Arabidopsis thaliana: one gene and its partners. The gene in region 1 interacts genetically with each later gene. Each region holds a gene or a part of one and is shown on either strand. Other genes may lie near its edges.

What was found. Genes that interact genetically often act in the same process or in processes that back each other up.
Region 2: of PEP (region 1) and HEN4, changing one enhances a phenotype caused by changing the other (phenotypic enhancement), as found in Arabidopsis thaliana (one study listed by BioGRID).
Region 3: of PEP (region 1) and HUA1, changing one enhances a phenotype caused by changing the other (phenotypic enhancement), as found in Arabidopsis thaliana (one study listed by BioGRID).

What each region holds. Positions count from the first base shown.
Region 1 is NC_003075.7:13,195,276-13,200,345, forward strand, and holds PEP (RNA-binding KH domain-containing protein), read left to right. Parts: upstream 1-1,793; 5' UTR 1,794-2,004; coding exon 2,005-2,364; intron 2,365-2,598; coding exon 2,599-2,851; intron 2,852-3,010; coding exon 3,011-3,159; intron 3,160-3,241; coding exon 3,242-3,499; intron 3,500-3,657; coding exon 3,658-3,849; intron 3,850-3,988; coding exon 3,989-4,264; 3' UTR 4,265-4,566; downstream 4,567-5,070. UniProt on the Arabidopsis thaliana protein: Regulates vegetative and gynoecium development. In concert with HUA2, antagonizes FLK by positively regulating FLC probably at transcriptional and post-transcriptional levels, and thus acts as a negative regulator of flowering.
Region 2 is NC_003076.8:25,741,347-25,748,192, reverse strand, and holds HEN4 (RNA-binding KH domain-containing protein), read right to left. Parts: upstream 4,848-6,846; 5' UTR 4,752-4,847; coding exon 4,146-4,751; intron 3,999-4,145; coding exon 3,090-3,998; intron 2,988-3,089; coding exon 2,718-2,987; intron 2,378-2,717; coding exon 1,943-2,377; intron 1,791-1,942; coding exon 1,714-1,790; intron 1,656-1,713; coding exon 1,517-1,655; coding exon of another isoform or gene 1,451-1,516; exon of another isoform or gene 978-1,450; coding exon 813-977; 3' UTR 541-812; downstream 1-540. Other genes in the region: AT5G64380 (Inositol monophosphatase family protein), read right to left, coding at 5,169-5,569, 5,675-6,071, 6,150-6,337, 6,623-6,846. UniProt on the Arabidopsis thaliana protein: Functions in floral reproductive organ identity in the third whorl and floral determinacy specification by specifically promoting the processing of AGAMOUS (AG) pre-mRNA. Functions in association with HUA1 and HUA2.
Region 3 is NC_003074.8:4,024,536-4,030,874, forward strand, and holds HUA1 (floral homeotic protein (HUA1)), read right to left. Parts: upstream 4,606-6,339; 5' UTR 4,465-4,605; coding exon 4,074-4,464; intron 3,310-4,073; coding exon 3,062-3,309; intron 2,668-3,061; coding exon 2,611-2,667; intron 2,519-2,610; coding exon 2,447-2,518; intron 2,291-2,446; coding exon 2,234-2,290; intron 2,132-2,233; coding exon 1,934-2,131; intron 1,754-1,933; coding exon 1,716-1,753; intron 1,619-1,715; coding exon 1,572-1,618; intron 1,472-1,571; coding exon 1,353-1,471; intron 1,267-1,352; coding exon 1,213-1,266; intron 1,118-1,212; coding exon 977-1,117; intron 894-976; coding exon 741-893; 3' UTR 541-740; downstream 1-540. Other genes in the region: AT3G12685 (Acid phosphatase/vanadium-dependent haloperoxidase-related protein), read right to left, coding at 4,710-4,949, 5,075-5,141, 5,224-5,261, 5,351-5,485, 5,565-5,726; AGC1.5 (AGC kinase 1.5), read right to left, coding at 6,061-6,339. UniProt on the Arabidopsis thaliana protein: Involved in flower development. Functions in floral reproductive organ identity by binding AGAMOUS (AG) pre-mRNA and promoting its processing. Functions in association with HUA2 and HEN4.

The DNA of each region.
Region 1 (5,070 bases):
ATCAGATGAATATAGGGATGAATATACGTAGTTTTGTCTTTGTCATATACTAGATTATATTCCCACCAGTCATTTTCCTATGTATTTAACAAGACAAGACGTAGAAAAATGAGAATTTTAGTACTTGAGTTAACATATTTAAAGATTATATTCCCATCAGTCATTGAACATATGTGTACATATATATACGAGGAGAATCTATAACTTAGTAAGGAGGGAAATATGAGATTTTATTTCTATAGAGAAAAGAAAGGATAAAACCTCTCTCTGCCAACACTGGCCACCGTCTCCAAAGTCCATCCCAGTTAATTTTTATTTTTTGGAATCTTCTTATGTTATTACTCTTTCTTTTCTTATGACAACATGTCAACATGTGACCTGTCGTCTTCTACTTTCTTTTCTTCAGCTTTTCTCCTTTTAAGCAGAATATTCAATCTATCTTCAAATTCATATCTGAGTTTTGTACTATAAAAGAAAAGCAGACATTAAAAAAGATTTGAATATAAAACAAATGTATTGGAGTGGTAAAGCACATCTTCATCAAACATTTTTAAGGAGCATCAATCTAATTGGTCGATGGAAATGGAAGTAAAGGAATAGAAGATTGTTTGTGTTCCATGATGATGTATATATATGCCTAATTAATGTTACTGTTAGTTACCTTTGGATAACAAAGATATTTAAAGCGGTTTAATGCTTATTAACGGTTGATGGATGTTACCTTTTCTTTTTGACATCACGGTAGATGTTACCTTTCATAGGTGTTGAATAGACAGATTGGGGACGTTAATTAGTAATGATGTAATTAGTTAGAGCTAAATAGTGCTAATAAATATATGTAAGAAATTGTTCGGAAAGTAACTAAAAAAAGTTCAATTCATGCAAGTAGACACTTCAAATGTGATAAATGTATAAGTATGATGTTAAGCATGTGACCCTTGAGAGTCGATTAGGGCACTGTACAAGATTGACCCAAATAGTTACAAACTACAAGTGAACTCTCTTCCATTACATATCTACGTGTATTGAGGGGACCATTATCGTACGTATACACGTATATATGTTTTGCCCTAAATTCCCAATTTTAATTCAGCATGGGGGACGGACTCATTCAATAGCATCGTCTTTCACTTTCCTTCTTCGGTTTAAAATCTCATTTTAGTTTCTGATCCAAAAAAAAATGTTTGATCAAAGATCAAAAACTTAGATAGAAACAAACTGTTTTTTTTTCTTAAATCAAGAAAGTCTAAAAAACTAAGATACAAAAAGGGACTCGCAGCGGCAGAGAGATAAGTATCTTACGGGCCAGCAGATAATTTCTATGTTACGTCCCTTTCATCCCCATTGCATATTGCATATGAAGACAACGGATATTAACTAAAATCTTCCAAAATTACGGTATAATGAATAATAATACACTTCTGTCTCATATAGTATTCTATTATATTGTTCGAAAATGTTCTTATTTACATATCTATTTATATTGTTAATTGATTGCGGCTATTACTGTGGATATTCATCGTAACTATTTTAATCAATACAAATCATGCAAAATAGTGAATGACTTAGAAAAGTTGAAACCACATATGATTGAGTTTAGGGGGAAAAGTATAAAAGAAAGCATGACTAGTATGTTACTATGTAGTAAGCTTCAAACATATATTTAAGAAAATACTATATATAGATACATATGATATAACATAACATTAAAATATATGGTGAAACATTTTTTCTTAATATCCTAAGCTTCAAACATATACCCAAGTAGAGAAGAGTTGGAGTATTCATTCTTTGGTTAAACATAGACCTAATACATAGCTCATATGGACAATTTTTCGACAAAACAAAAATGATAGCAAATGGGCTAAAATGGTTTCATATCGAAAAGCCCAAACCATTAAGCCAAAACGACGTCGTACGATATGACAGCGGCGATTCCTATAACCACCACCAGAGGTTAAAAAGTCTCTCTCTTTAGCTATCTTTTTTGTGTTACCGGTTCAAATGGCCGCCGTCGCAGATTCCGTTGAGAACAACGGTTCCATAAACCTCCCTGAGAATGAAAACCTTATACCGGCGGGATTCAGTGCCGCCGCATTGCTTGACGAAAACTCTGGCGCTTTCCCTGAATTGAATCAGCCCGATAGCTTAGCTGCTGCTGAGACTACCTTCCCCGATACGAACGATTCCGCGGAGGAGAGGTGGCCAGGTTGGCCTGGTGATTGCGTGTTTCGTATGATCGTTCCGGTGACTAAAGTCGGAGCTATTATTGGACGCAAAGGTGACTTTATAAAGAAGATGTGTGAGGAGACTCGTGCTCGTATCAAAGTCCTTGATGGTCCTGTTAATACTCCCGATCGCATCGTTAGTATCTCTATCTCCTTCTACGTGATTTACTGTGTTCAAAGCTAATTCGAATTTGGGGATTTTTAATTTCTATTTCTAGGGTTTCTTAATCATAAGTAGGAAGATTCTTGAGTTGTGATCATTAAAGTTGTGAACTTTTATCCCCTAGTTGTGCAATTTGATTACTTTATGGTTCCAATTATAGTTTGAAGTGTTCACTAAGTTAATTACTTGCTCAATGTTATGTTTTAGGTGTTAATATCTGGTAAGGAAGAACCAGAGGCCTACATGTCACCGGCAATGGACGCAGTGTTGAGGGTGTTTAGACGTGTTTCAGGGTTGCCTGATAATGATGATGATGATGTTCAAAACGCTGGAAGTGTCTTCTCTTCAGTGCGTTTATTAGTTGCTTCAACGCAGGCGATTAATTTGATTGGAAAACAAGGATCTTTGATTAAGTCTATAGTAGAGAACTCTGGTGCATCAGTTCGTATTTTATCAGAAGGTATTATCTATCATCTGCAGTTTTCTGTTTTTACCTAATTGATCTCTTTGTTTGTGATTGTTAAAGTTTAGTTTTTGCTATTTCAATTCATGTCTGTTTTTTTTTCTAAAATTGGTGTCTTTGTTGCCAGTTTCTTATTTCTCTACTTTTTTCTGCCAGAGGAAACACCGTTTTATGCTGCACAGGATGAGAGGATAGTGGATTTGCAAGGGGAAGCTTTAAAGATTCTTAAAGCATTAGAAGCCATTGTTGGACACCTTAGGAGATTTTTAGTTGACCATACTGTTGTCCCTCTCTTCGAGAAGCAAGTAAGCTTGCTTGTTTCAATCGAGATTATTCCTTTCCCTTTTTTTTCTTTTCTGAATTATTGTTATCTTTTCTTATCTTCAGTATCTAGCTAGGGTCTCTCAAACTCGCCAGGAAGAACCGTTAGCTGAAAGCAAGTCATCTCTGCATACTATTTCGTCAAATCTAATGGAGCCTGATTTCTCCCTCTTAGCACGGAGGGAACCTTTGTTTCTGGAGCGCGATTCTCGGGTGGACTCACGTGTTCAGCCTTCGGGAGTTTCTATCTACAGTCAGGATCCTGTACTGTCTGCCAGACACTCCCCAGGTCTTGCTCGGGTTTCTTCTGCTTTTGTGACACAGGTAGATTCCCTTAAATACAACATCAGCTCCTGAAAACGAGTTTAGCGATATCATCTTACTTGTTATGATTAGTCTTCCAGCAGTGATTTTGATCTTAACACATCTAACTTGTTTCTCTGAACTAGTAGTGACGTTTCTATAATGGATTCTCTTACTAGGTATCTCAAACGATGCAAATACCATTCTCCTATGCAGAGGATATTATTGGTGTAGAAGGAGCTAATATAGCCTATATCCGTCGAAGAAGCGGAGCTACCATAACCATTAAAGAGAGTCCGCATCCTGATCAAATCACAGTGGAAATCAAAGGCACAACTTCTCAAGTACAAACTGCTGAGCAACTAATTCAAGTAAGAACACATTCGATCTGTATATATATATATATACTTTCTGCGACGTGGCATTGTATAAACACTAAGATTATGCTTGCTTTGCATCCTACCCCGCCTGCTTCATCATAACCGTATTCTTTTGTTTACGTGTGTGTAGGAGTTCATCATCAATCACAAGGAACCAGTTTCGGTATCAGGGGGATATGCCAGAATCGACTCTGGATATGTACCTGCATATCCTCCTCAGCTAAGTAACCGTCAAGAGCCGCTCCCGAGCACCTACATGGGCACAGAGCCGGTGCAGTACAGACCAACAGCATACTCTCAGCTGGGGGGTCCTTCTACCTACACACCGACCCTGACTGGGCAAACTTATGGTTCGGAATATAGACCAGCTTCTGATGTTGGTGGCTACAGCAGTTATAATCTTTGAATTGGTTGCTGTGTTTAAGTTTATTTGCAGATTAATTTCTCTTTAGAGAAAGGCTCATTTATAATATAATAGAGAGGGAAAAGGAACAAGTTCTAGAGAGCCAATGTAGTTGTTGGAATGTGTAATGTAAATCTAGGTGCCCTTTTTTTTTTTTTTTTTCATACCTCGATATATGTCACACTACGTTTCTGGTCAAATAAGAACATGTTTTTTCTTTCTTTTTTGTATGAATTTGTTTATCAGAAGTCAGAATGATTCAGTTTTAAGAAATTTTTAGTTAACGTTTTACAACAATAACCTGTAGGAGCTTTTTCTTAATTGAATAAGTTTAAGCTTTCTATTTTGATCTGATGATGCTAATATGAAAGCATTCTCCGAAGAACCAAACCACATGAGACTTTTTGATTTCAATGTCCATTCGTAACTAGTAACGGAAAAGATCAGACAGAAAAAATGTACCAATCATTCCATATTTGTAGTTTTACATGATATAGTAATATTCTCTAGGTGTTTAAGTTGTATATTTCATGATTTTTACACATTTTAAAACCTGATTAAGGCCTGTTTTTAACTTTTTATTTCTTCAAACCGTAAGAAACAATCCTTGCAAGAAACAATCCTTGCTTCTTCTTCTTTTTTTCGTCAAGAAACAATCCTTGCTATATTTTCATTTTTACAGCTTCTTGTTTTTAAGAGAGCAAATATAATAAATAAGGACGGCTGAAAAGAGGTATATGTATCACAAAATTAAACAAAAGAGAATCCACCTATCGACATAGACGTGGTATCCTTTCGATATCGACAGA
Region 2 (6,846 bases), on another chromosome or scaffold:
AACGTAATGTACAAATATATACGAATATTATTCAACCTCGCAAGACCCTCTTCTATAGACTCAAATTTCATAGTTTTTTTCGCTTTTGCACTATTTTTACGCATGAATCTTAATTTTGCATTACTATTGATTTGATTACTGATAGCGAGTATGGTATATCAAATGTGTATAGAATCTCTGATAAAGTTTGTAGTGTAGTTTTGCTACAGAAAGAACAAATGTTCTGAGATTGTGAAAGCTATAAAATGAAGGGGTTTACAAAACCATCAGTGAAACTCTGTTGACGGTAACAATTTTCAGGCTTTGATTTTGGAACTTTTTTTTTTTTTTTTTTTCTTTTTTTTTTGTCAAACAACTTTGATTCTGGAACTTATAGAGTAAAATTCCTATAAATTTTCTACCATTTGATTTTCATAGCTAAAGAAGGTGACAAAAGCTGGAAAAAAGGCAGTCTACAAAGAAATTGTGCAAGCAGGTTTTAGCAATCCAAAGCAGCCAACATATTGACCCGTTGTTATCAAGTTTTCCTTTTGTAAACATCTAGTACCGAACATTTTATGACAATGACTGTCCCTCTATATACTGTCAATCAAATCTCAGTTCCATGCGTAATAATGTGGGATAAAAGAAGAAAATTTTAGGCAAGACATCAAACTGATTCCTTCAAAGTACTTAAAACGAAAAAGATATTGTACAAGAGTTCAAAAGATCCAAATCAACAAAAAAAAAGGGAGATTAAATAAAAGGGACAAGAAACATGTGAGAGCTCGTTTCCTTTTTTTTGTTTTCTGTATGGTTATAAGTGTGTGGTTCTAGTTTAGGTTGTATTTTTTGGACAATGAGGTTTCACCTGTAAGGATGAAGGCATGAAGAAGGTTTTGGGCAGCCTGGGTTTGATCAGGTGTTCCAGATATGACAATGATCCTGTCACTTGTTCCTAGAGGAGGTTCATGGATTATGACCCTTGCACCCGATATCTGAGTAAACAAGCATCAAATGGTATAAGCTATGCTTAAGCCGTTTAAGTCAACCAACGGGGTGCTACTTCATCTTTATGACACTAATTATTTGGTCTGTAGATGATTATTTCAGACTGATGGGGCTAGATGAAAATTCTGTTTTTAAACAACGACTGTAACACTGAATAATGGAACAAACGTTGAGTACTTCAACGAAGATGGAGTTTTCGTGACTTAAAACAGTTTTTTTTGAGTAAAGTTATACATCGTTGAGAATAGTCCTAGACTCCTATTGACTTAGATTAATGGTAGCACGATTGTTTGCACCATGTATAAGACTTTACGTATATGAATTTTATTTTCTCATGCTTTCTTTTTAGTAACCCTAGAGTTCACTTCCGTTTTTAGTAACCCTAGAGTTCACTTACGTATAAGAGCAGCCAATGGAAACCAAAACCTATGGCTGCTCTTGTGGAGCAATTAATCATGGCCTAACCTCTTTTGGATGACGCTATGGGGAAAACCAATAAAAGATTTGTAAACAAAAAATGGCTTACCTGTCTCAGTTGTTCCAGATTGTAACCCTGCTCTCCATACACAAAGCTCATAGCATTAGCTGGAACTCTAATTTCCACGGTAGTGTTTGTAACGATGGCAGATTTGTGTCCACTAGAAAAGACCAAGCGAGCATGTAAACTACACAAAGATCAGAGTAATTATCTCACATAACTGTCTATAATTGTAGTGCTTTTACCTGCCAAGTACATGGCCAGCCCTTGCAGAAGATAATCCGCCACTGGCATCAGATAAGCCTCTTGGAGCTGCTGGAGGCTACATAAAAACTATGTCTATCAGCTACAGAAGTTAGATAGAAGCACAAATGTTCAAAATCTGAATGTGTAGAGGAAGAATGGGAGTATCAACAAGTACTTATGTACAGCAGAAAGGGGAGGATGGGAGAATACAGAGAGATGGAGACATACCGGGGACGCCCACAAACGAGATGGGGCCTCAGTTAAGTGATGGGAGTTATCACTGTGGTCCATGGTAAACCGCCGACCAAAATTATGAGAATAGCCTGCTGAGGGATTAAACCTATCAGGAAATGGGTCTTCTGGTCTTATGTAAGGATCTGTGCCAACTGATCTGGAATAGTTAACTGATGAATGAGACCCACTTAAAAAGGAATCCTCAGATCTTCTGTGCAGACTTGAGGAGTTGGTAGCTGGATTACTAACGGATTGATGAGACCCAATAGACAGAGGATTGTCTGATTGTCTGTCGTAGAATCTCTCAGTAGTTAAGGCGGAGCTGCTCTTGGCTAAGGAATTTTTCATTGAGTTGGAGAAAACACTGTCTCGCAGCCTGCTTGTAATATGGAAAATGGCTTCTCTCACATTAGGGAACTCTCCTGTAATCTATTGGCCAGTAAAGAATTAGTTTATGCCAGACAACTTAAGGAACAATGGAGCTTACAATATGACCGAGTTAATCTCTCAACCAAGTTTACAGTAAATGATCTTTTTAACTCTCTGTTTGCATGAATCTTTCAATTTCTTTCAGAATGTAGCAATAACTAAAACACCACCAACTTTTGACAAGTGTGCAAGGTGAATAGAGACCAACACAGGATTCGGTAATGAAAAGCAAACCACTAACATTTAGCATGCTAATTCCAAATTATGCTCACAAATCAGATGAGAGATTGTCACGTGGAATATGTACCATAACCATAAGGTCAACAAATGATCTAAGTACCTGCACAACTTGATCATTCTCTGAAATACATTTTGGGTTCTGCTCAACCTTCAAAATTTGAATTGCAGCCCCAGTGGTTTTCCGCATTTCCGAAACAATAACACCTCCTTTTCCCAGCACACAACCAATCTGACTTGTTGGGACAACAAGCCGTGCAGTGATAGATGACCTTGGGCCATTATCTAGGATTTTGTTAGTGGCAAGCTCAAATAATCTTGAAAAAATAAGCATAATCGCTTTCTGGGCTGGCGAGCTTTGACATTCAGGGTTCTACATGATGAACAAGCAACAATTATCAACCAAGGATAGTAAATAGATGGAACAGTACTGCATAAGCATCCATGAAAATGGGAAGAAATAGAAAACACCAACCTCTGATGCAGTTACTGCAATCAGACGTTCTTCACAATCATCAAGTGTATTTCCCACATTTATGAAGGCACCTGTTTCGCTATGAAGCATCCTGACAACTTTACCTCCAGTCCCGATAACTCCGCCAGCATTCTCAGTGGAACAAAGTATCTTAAAAACCACATCTTGGTTCCCTACTTCCACTTCTGATGGAGGTGGCTTCATGGTGGCAGTGTTAGCCATTGAAGCAGACGTAGTGAAGCTGTGAGGATGTGTGTCTAAAGTCGAATAACGATGTGCAAGATAATCTGCACTTTGCCCACGAAGAGTTTCTTGTGTCATTGTTTCAATAGGCCTTCCGTAAGCATCACGTGGAAACGACTCAAAAGGCATGCCCATAGCATCACGTGGAACCATTTCGAAAGGTCTATGCAAGGAATCATGAGAATCATCCCTCTCTCTATGCTGTCGAAAACAATCTCCCCTGAGAACATCAGAAGGCATGTATAACGTTTCTTGAGGAACTACATCAATACGCCTGCGTAAAGCATCTTGCCGGTCCGCCTCAACATGCCTGCGTAAAACATCTTGCCGGTCTGCCTCAATATGCATGCGTAAAGCACCCTGGGGAACCGCCTCGATACGCCTAAGATGCAAAGTATCATGAGGAATCACATCATTAGCCCGAGCTACAGTGCCCCGGGGAAATATCTCGTCGTTTCTCAGCCTATAATCGTAAGGGTTAACTTCAACGGACCTAGGAAGTGACTCCTGAATTATTGTCTCTATAGGCCTATGCAAAGATGCTTGGAACTCTTTTTCGAGAGGTCTGTTTCCAACCATCCTTACCTTGTCAATCGATTGACAATTTTGCAAGCAGCGGGAGATAGACACAAGAGCTTTCTTTACAGCGATAGCATTTCCTTCAACCTGCCATAGTTCAATATGAAAACCAATACATTACAATCTGCAAAAAAACAAGCATCTATAGAGTGCTAAACCAACGTTTCAGCTCAAAACATTTTCTCCAAAGAGATATTCATAGTTTCTAAATTTAGTATCAATTAGAATTCGTACCTCCACCATCTCGTCATCAGTATCAGCGCAAATCGGCAAATTCTCAATCCGTATAGAAATTTTGCAGCCAGTTTCTTTCCTAATACTCCCAACCATTTGACCACCTTTGCCTATCACAGCACCGGCATGGCTAGACTCCGTCAACAATCGGCACACGACCGTATCACTATCAGCTTCCGCCGCTAAAAGCTCGAATACCTTAATCAACGCTCCTTGTGCTTTAGATACCTCAACTTCCTCCTCCTTTTTCTCTCCTTCTGCATTGCCATTGTTATTAGCACCCAATTTCACCCTTGATTTCGAATCTGCTTGTGCGATTATCGTGATGACCCGATCCGGAGACCCAGACGGAGGCTCCTCGACCCGTATCTTAGCTCCGGTTGATTGTTGGAGCTGTTTGATTACGTTTCCAGATTTTCCAATCACCGCACCGACGTGTGATAAAGGGCAGAGCAATCTAAACGCCGCGTGTCCCACCGGCACAACCAGAGCTGAGAGCAGCTGCGTGTGATGCGTTTTGACCCTCTTGGAAGATCCGAATCCTGAACCTGGATCAAACGCTCCGGATCTCTTCTCTGCATGAAATTTAACGCTATTTCGCTCCATTATCTCTCCTCTCTCTCCCTCTCCAATCTCGTCACGGCGGTTTCCGGCGCAGAGGACTTGAGAGAAGTCTTTGGTGGTCTTTAACGCTAAGTTGCTAACTTGCGCCAAATATCCGCATTATATATTTATTATTTAACGGCAAACCATACCGTACCGATTTTAAAAATTCTTACTAAACTTAACCGAAATCTAACAACCAATTTATGGGAGTGGGACTGTGTTAGAAATCGAAGAAAGATTGCTTCTGATAAAGAAACATAATAAACTTGTGAATTGTGATTATACCAGTCGATCTTGAATCTTGATAAACAGATATATACACGGATCTAACTTTCCTAATACATAATGTTACAAGCAACCAAATCTAACATCGATTCATTTATTGTTTTTACAGATAATATGAAACAGAGGAGTTGTTTAAACTTCATAGCCAGGGTTCACAGTCTGCTGCACATCTCCATAGCTCTCTAGCTCAGCAACATCCTCTAAGCTCCCAAGAAACAGAGGCAATCTTTGGTGAAGCTTCACGGGTTGTATCGAAAGTATCCCTCTTTTTCCATCAGAGGATTTGCCACCAGCTTGCTCCACGAGAAAAGCCAAAGGGTTACCTTCATAGACTAAACGAAGATGGTCTCTTGGATTCATAGCCACTCCACCGTATAAGAGAGTCCTGTGAAGATCAGCTACTAGAGAACAAATATAACGCGCAGAGTATTTTTTCGGGTTTTGACCTTTGCCTTGTCTCACTGTGTCAATGTACTTCCTTAAACCTTCTGGCCAATCAAAGTACCTCGCATCGTTCACTGAGTAGATTTGTCCTATTGTTGATCATACAAAAAACAACGATTAATGCAGGTTGTTCAGAGCCATGAATAGGAATGTCGCAATGGATCAAGTCATATGTGTCATTAGACGCTTTTTACCCCGAGTTGGGATCTTGATGTTTTGATGGGTAAGAACAAATTCTCCTGTGGAATGGTCTAGCGTGAAGGCGTGTGTTCCCGATCCAAGTGTAACACAGAAGATAGTGGCTGAAGAGTATAGCACATAACCGGAAGCTACAAGCCTGCTGCCTCTCTGCAAAGAATTGAGCTCAGCTTTCTCTTCAACAGGTAAATGATCAAGCTCAACGAGACGATTGTAAATTCCAAATATAGTTCCCGTGGGAATCGAAGCATCGATGTTCCGTGATCCATCTAGAGGATCTACAACCACAACGTAAGGACCATCATCTTTGATCCAAGTTGGACTATCGTTTTCTTCAGAAGCCATTACTGCTACTTTCCCTGAGTTTCTAAGAGAGGACAAGACGATATCGTTCTGCAAAACGGAAACATGAATTGTAAGATTGAATCTTGATATGAATCATGATAAAAAAGAGAGTAATAAGATACAGACCGAGACAATATCGAGCGGCTTAGGCGCATCTCGGTCTGACCCACTAGAGGAGTTAACAGAGAGCTTTCCGAGTGAAGAATTGAAAGGAGAGGCGACAAGAGAAGCGATTCTTTTGCAAGCATGTTGTAAGTGGTAAAGCAACACCACAAGATCCTCTCCTACATTTTTCCCTTCTCCTCCTCCACTACCTATCAGAAAATTTCATAGAACAACTTAAAATAATAATAAATTTAAGACTTCAATCAAACTGCTTATACAGAGGAACCGTCAAAAGTCAAAACCCAACCATTGTTCGTCTAAGAGAGTTTCCAAGATTTGTCTTACTCAATTAAGCACATTTTAGATGCTAAATTCAGGGTATTTCCACTAAAGTTACGGATTTTCGGACATAGATTGACAATGGATGACAGACAACACATTAACTTGAATTATCGAGACAGTGCTAAGTTCGTTCAGACAGAGCAGTTTGTTACCTGCAAAGTCTATAAGAGTACAGTAACCATCATCATCATCTCCGGTCAAATTCCGACCAACGGCAAGGGGCTTAAAGGAAGTTGACTGATGGCGAGACGCCATATCGCGACGGTTAATACCGGCGGTCGGAGCAGAGAGAACAGAAGCTGCGATTTGTCTTAGCGGGTAAAGATTGAGTCTTGGCGGGGAAATTGGAGTTGGGTACCGAGTTAAGGTAAGAGAT
Region 3 (6,339 bases), on another chromosome or scaffold:
TGTGGAAGTTTGCATAATTTTGGTAAGATAGGCCCAAAAGAGTATTTTGGATTATAGAAGTATTATAGGGAAGTGTGCTCATATTTTTAAAAGATCCAATCAAAAAGGCATCAAACTTTTTGAGTCCTCCTTTGCTACTTTCATCATTTGTCGTTATACCATTAATAGAGGCCTTCCACATGTTTCATCAAAACTTAAAATCAGAGACACGGAGACAACTAGTCCATGTTTTCTTCCTTTGCCTCTGTTTCTCATGTCATGTCCTCTTCTTCGACTCTTAAGAACAAAACATTGGACCCACTTTTGATTTAGCAGTTAGCACCGACATGTGTCTTGCTGAAGAAGCATGTTTCATGCACTGGCTCTCTGTCGTCACTCTGTCACATCTTGTTGTTACGTGTTGTTTCATCTTATTGTGGAGATTAGTTGGAGTTTACTGACAATTGCTATAAACAAAATCACAATGGAAACGATATTTATCCAAGAGAACCGAATCAACGGCAGATAAATGCTCAATTGGATCATTGAGGAGAGAAGAGTGGTGATGAACAATTTTGCTTTTATGAGCTCAACTGAGTAAAAGAAGACTCACTCAACGATATCTTTTTTGTTTTAGGATGATAAAGAGAAGTAGAGAACTCACGAGCGATAAGCATTTCGAAACGAAACAGATGCAGTACATAGGAAGTAAACTAGGATTACAACAAGATATCATCTTATGTTACACAAAGCTGGGAAACTCATTGAGTAGTGTCGGTGTTGGTTGCTCCAGCAGCATCGGCTTCTGAAGTGGTCTTAGCCATCACCTCACCTGGAGGAGGATGGTCAAACTTGCATGTTGCCCCGTATTTGCAAGTTCCTGTCTTCATGTAATAAGGGCAATTAAGCGCACCCTGCAACAGTTTTTGTTTTGTCTATGAGATTACCACACAAACTCACAACATGCAGGCTTCTAATAATACCACTTTATAGGTACCTCTCTTCTGGGATACCCTGCAAGACTCAGCTTTACATTTGGTTGTTGAGGAGCTTGTTTGGTCATTGCACTTAACCTATCTGCTGGGTGATGGAATTTGCATCTCTCTCCAAACTTGCACTCCCCTGTCTTCATGTAGTACTGTAATATTGAAAGACAGAGCTTTTGGTATAAAATTTCAACTAACATGTGGGAGAAAAAGCTCAGCAATCTCTAAAAGAAACAAGGATACTAACGTCACATTCTGATTGTCCAGGTCTTTGGGGATAAGTTGCTGAAATCACTCCAAGCTGAAACAATTTCCACTCTAATTAAACCCCTATCAACTAAAGAAGCGCTCTTGAATATTTCTCACAACATGAATAAAGGCTTTTACCGTGGGTTGAGTAAGAGTCTGATAGAAAGAGGTAGCTGGTGTAACCAGCCCAAGGTTCAAATTCGCAGTGTTCGATGAAACTAGAGAATAGTTTACCCCAGCAGCTTGGGGAATGAATGCTGTGCACAGAATCAAAACATCGCACATTATGAGAATTTAGGGATAAAAGTAATACGTTAAAGGTTCTAAAAACCACAAAATTTTGGCATGATCACAAACCAGTCCTCTCAGGATGATTGTAGCGACAAGTGGCTCCATACTTGCAGCTGATTATGGAAAAGGAAAACAAGTTAGAACGTTAATGTCACGTTCTTTGTTTCAATGTTCTAAACAACAAAATAGTATTATACAAGAGATATTCACCTTCCCGTTTTGAGATAGAATGGGCAGTCCACTTCACCCTGAAAAAGCTACAATCTAATTAGTGAAACTTCATTCTCAGACGTCAGAACAGGTCAGCATACAATGCTAGCAAACCATAATCAGTTCTAAGTATAGTGCCAATAAGATAGTAGAAAGTCACAAATTGTGCCTATATGATTATAAGTCAGTCTTATGCAAAGTGAAGATGAATTCATTACCGATCTAACAGGTAGTCCTTTTGAGTTGTGATACAATGCTGGGGTAAATGTGACATGCGGATTGTTTGTGGCATCAGGCTCACTGGTTAACCCCACACTGCTACCAATATCTTGACTCGATGATGGTAGCTGGATATCCTTTGGATGGTGGAATTTGCATGACAAACCAAATTTACATTTTCCAGTCTTCATGTAGAACTGATGCAGAGTAGAAATGCCAAATTAATAATCGATATTAGTTTCATATGTAAGAGCATTTATAAAAATAGGATAGGTCAATCAATTATGTTTATATCTTACTGTGCACATAGGTTCAGAAGGCCTCTCAGGCAATGAATCTTGAGTTTCAACACTAACCTGAAATAAAGAAGAGCATCAAGCTTCTAGGTGCATGCACAGCCCAAGAAAAAACTAAAGCAGTACATATTACAAGCACAAGATTTTATGCGAGTGTCTGCAGGCAAATACACAACCCGAGGGATAATTTTATTTGGAAAAGGAAAATTCACTTACTGCAGCCTCTTCTCTTGGATGATTAAATTTGCACTTTGAACCATATTTGCAGCGTTGTGTTTTTATATAGTACTGGATAACAGTGAAAATAAAAGAAAGATAGTCTCAGGTCTTCAGGCGAAACAGAAATAAAATAGCTCGAAAAGTTTTCACGAACAGCTTACAGGACAATCTGGTTCTCCTGGTCTCTCAGGATACTCTTCATTTGGAACAACTGGTGCCTGAATGAAAAGATATTCATAAGCAAAAACAATCATATCATTTTATCATGTAATGCCTAGACAATGAGTATGATGTCTCTTCCAAGTCAAGGAATGATCTGACAAAGGGAAAAGCAAGGATAACAAACACGGTTGCAGAAGTCGGGAAGCTCAAATCTTGAATAACAATAAGATACCATTTGTCATACCTATACCTACACTATCATGATAATGTAGTAATTCTATAACCTCGTATACCAAACAAAAACAATATATATAGTTACAAAGTAATTAGGCACAAACTCCCACAGTATAAAACATATAAGTACATAACAGAATATAGAAAAACGTTATCATAATAATGTAAAAATCATATGAGGGCATAAGAAATACTTAGATAGTAGTAAACGATCACCTCTTTCCAATCTGGGATTCCGCCCTCAGGAACCCAAATAGGATGATCAAACCTGCAGCTTTCTCCAAATTTACATGTTCTTGTTTGCATATAGTGGGTACAATCTTTCTCTCCTGCCCTCTGTGGATATATAGGCAAATGGCTTGTACTCTCCAACTTAGGGCGCTTGGTAAAATAGTCTGTAGTATACCAAGCTTCGGTTTGACCAATTGTATTATGGGCACCCAACAGAGTCGGATAGTAGAGCGCTAAATTACATAATAAACAATAATATACAACGAAATGAGAAGATATATACTGACTATAAGTATAATTTGAAAATAAATTTGGGAGATACTATAGCAAAAACCAAGATATAGCATCAATAATCAATTGTATCTTTAGTTAAACTTACAGTAAGAAATTCTGGCTTACATACAATCATGTCTGAAAATCTATTGGAAACCATAGAGTTACAACAAAACATAAATCATCAATCAATTCTGCAAAATCACCAAGTGTTCCAATAAACATTAAGGTCAAAACTAAAAACAATTATCGTTAGGCAATCCTAAAGCAACAAAGACTTAATCAAGAACACTACCATAAGCTATATAGTTTATAGATGCAATCCCTAAGCATCTCCTGAAAGATGATTCTAACTGTCAAGCTTCGCGTTGTCCAGACTCAAAACAAAGCAATTGGCCAAACCAATCCAACCTCTATTTCAGCTAACGAGAAAGCACAGAGGAATACAAACCAACATCATTGTGCTTGAGCAAATGTAAATTAAAATCTATCCTAGAAAGAATCAGGCTAGAGACCATGACTAAAGCTGAGTTTTTTATGCTGCAATTGAAGAAACAAACCATCAAAAACACTAATTTCCGCTACAGAACTAGAGTATCACGATGAGCAGAGAAAAGGGAAAGCTGAAGTCTTTAACTTTTCAAGTTATGCGGCATAGTTCTCCAAGCAATAAATAAGAAAATGATGCAGATCCCATAAATAGTAAGGTAAACAAAGAGCCTACCTTCAGAGGTGCGTTTGACACCAGGAGGAAGTGGCTCGACGGCGGAAGCAGCACCGGGAACCTCCACACCAGGTGGCCAAGCAACTTCCTGATGCTGAAGCAGCTGAGGATACGCCAAATGCGATGCCGTCGTGTTAGGCAAATGATGGTACATAGAGGAAGACGATGCAAGAGTCCCTGAATAGTTGCTCAAAGCTTCGGATCCATCACGAGCTAAGAAACGATACGTGGTATCCGGAAAGTAATGGTCAGCAGAAGAACCGTAGAGAGAAGAAAGACCGGTTTTTGGCGGCAGTGGTTGTTGCGGCGGAGGAGGAGCTGGAGATACGGTGGAGGCAGCAGCAGCATAAGAAGGTTGAAGGGCGTAGCTATACAATTGACGATGTGCCATTCGATCGAAAAAGGAAACCCTAAAGGAAAAAGCTTTCTACTTTTTTGGTGTCAAACAAATTATCAAAATTGTTGTGTTTGTGGGGTTTACAACCAACTCAAACAGAACAAAAATTCTCAGATCCATAAAACTTGATTTGACATTACCACTGATTCTCTGTTTTATTGCAGTTTGCACATTATTAAATTCTCTTTCTTTCTTATCAACACAAAAAATATATAGTTTTTATAAAGTTGGGAGCTTTTTTACATCAGGGAATAAACACTGAGGGTAACTAAGAAACCGAACAAAGCCCCTGCTATGACTTCAACTTCAGTGTGTCCTATTGATTCTTTCAATGGAGGAGCAATCTCCTCACTGATCTCTTCTGATGTCAAAGCTTTGTTAGATTCGTTGCCCTTTAAACTCATTACTTCACTTCTACGAGCATTAGCTGTTAGTTTGTTCAACACTTTGGCATGTTTTCCAACTTCTCTCCTCACCCCCTGCAATGTTACAATCAGTGAGACATTAAGATAACACTAGAATCAGACATTGAGAATTTGAGAATAACCAACAAAGACCTATTGAACAAAAGCCAGCCTAAGCTTTTCTCTATAGACTATTTTACCTGGGCATCATACATGATAAGGCCAGCATAAACCACAGTTAGACCAAAAATGGAGTCAGCAAATCCCCTGAAGCCAAACCATATTCAGGAAATTGCATAAGCTGAGTATATTTAGGGGAATTGAGAAGAGAAAGGTTCAGGCTAATCACCTTTCAAAAGCAATAGCAGTTGCTGCAGCCACAACAGACTGGTTTCTCAAGAATTAGGCCAAAATGTCAGAGAAGTAGACAAACAATATTACCAGAGGAAACAAGAATAAAAAAAGGATAAGCTTACAGAAGAATGTGTTGAAGGGAAACCTCCAGCTTGAAAGACACTTCTAAAGTCCAGATTTTTCCCATACAAAACGACAGAAGTGAATGGCTTTGAGAGCTGCCCAATCACAGCAGAAGTCCCAGCAGCTATGAGTACCTTCACGCCGGTGAAATCAAAAGCCTAAGTGACGATGACCCTCCAAAAAAAGGAATGAAAGAAGAGAAAAAGGCGAAACCTTGTTGTGGATGACCTCAGCGATATCTTGGAATCCAACATTGACAACGCAGGTGAGACGAGGTGGCTTCTTTGGGCAGCTTGCAAGATTGAATTTGGAGTTGGAGAAAGAGAAACAGAGATCATTGGCGTTATGAGACACAAAACAGTGCTTCATCAACATCTCTGTGCAGAAGATGGAACTTTGGTCGGAGGATGACGATAAGAATAAGGCAGCGAGAAATTTGGAACCAATGGTTCTGACGCTCTGTTATGTCGAGAAGAGTGTTGTCTCTTAGGACATTTTAATTGACTCAGAGAAGCTTTTGTGGATTTTTTCATTGACAAATTGTTATCTCACACACAAAATCTGCTTTAACTCTTTTAGTAAAACTCTTTTAGTCTCTTAAACCAAGTCATCTGTTCTTCTTTTATAAATCACAATTTGTATTCGCCAAAATTAAAGAATATGAACAAAAACAAACATATCGAAACTTTCAGCTTGTGGAGTTTTAAGTCTAAAAGTACTCGAAATCTATATACGCCGTATCATCCGTGGGACCAGCAGCACAGGCGACCAGAGGCTCCGGCTTCATTGAGTTACAGTGATCACCACCTCCATGGCTCTTGGTCTTACCTCTAGCGGCCGCGTACGGTCCCAAGTCCACGGGGTCTGGAATGTGAGGTGGGGCAGCACTACGAACTAGAGCCCAATTCACTCCTTCAAAGAAAGGGTGTTGCTTTATCTCTGTGGCCCCCCTCGTGTAAGCGATCCTTCTGTGTGGATCCTTCACTAG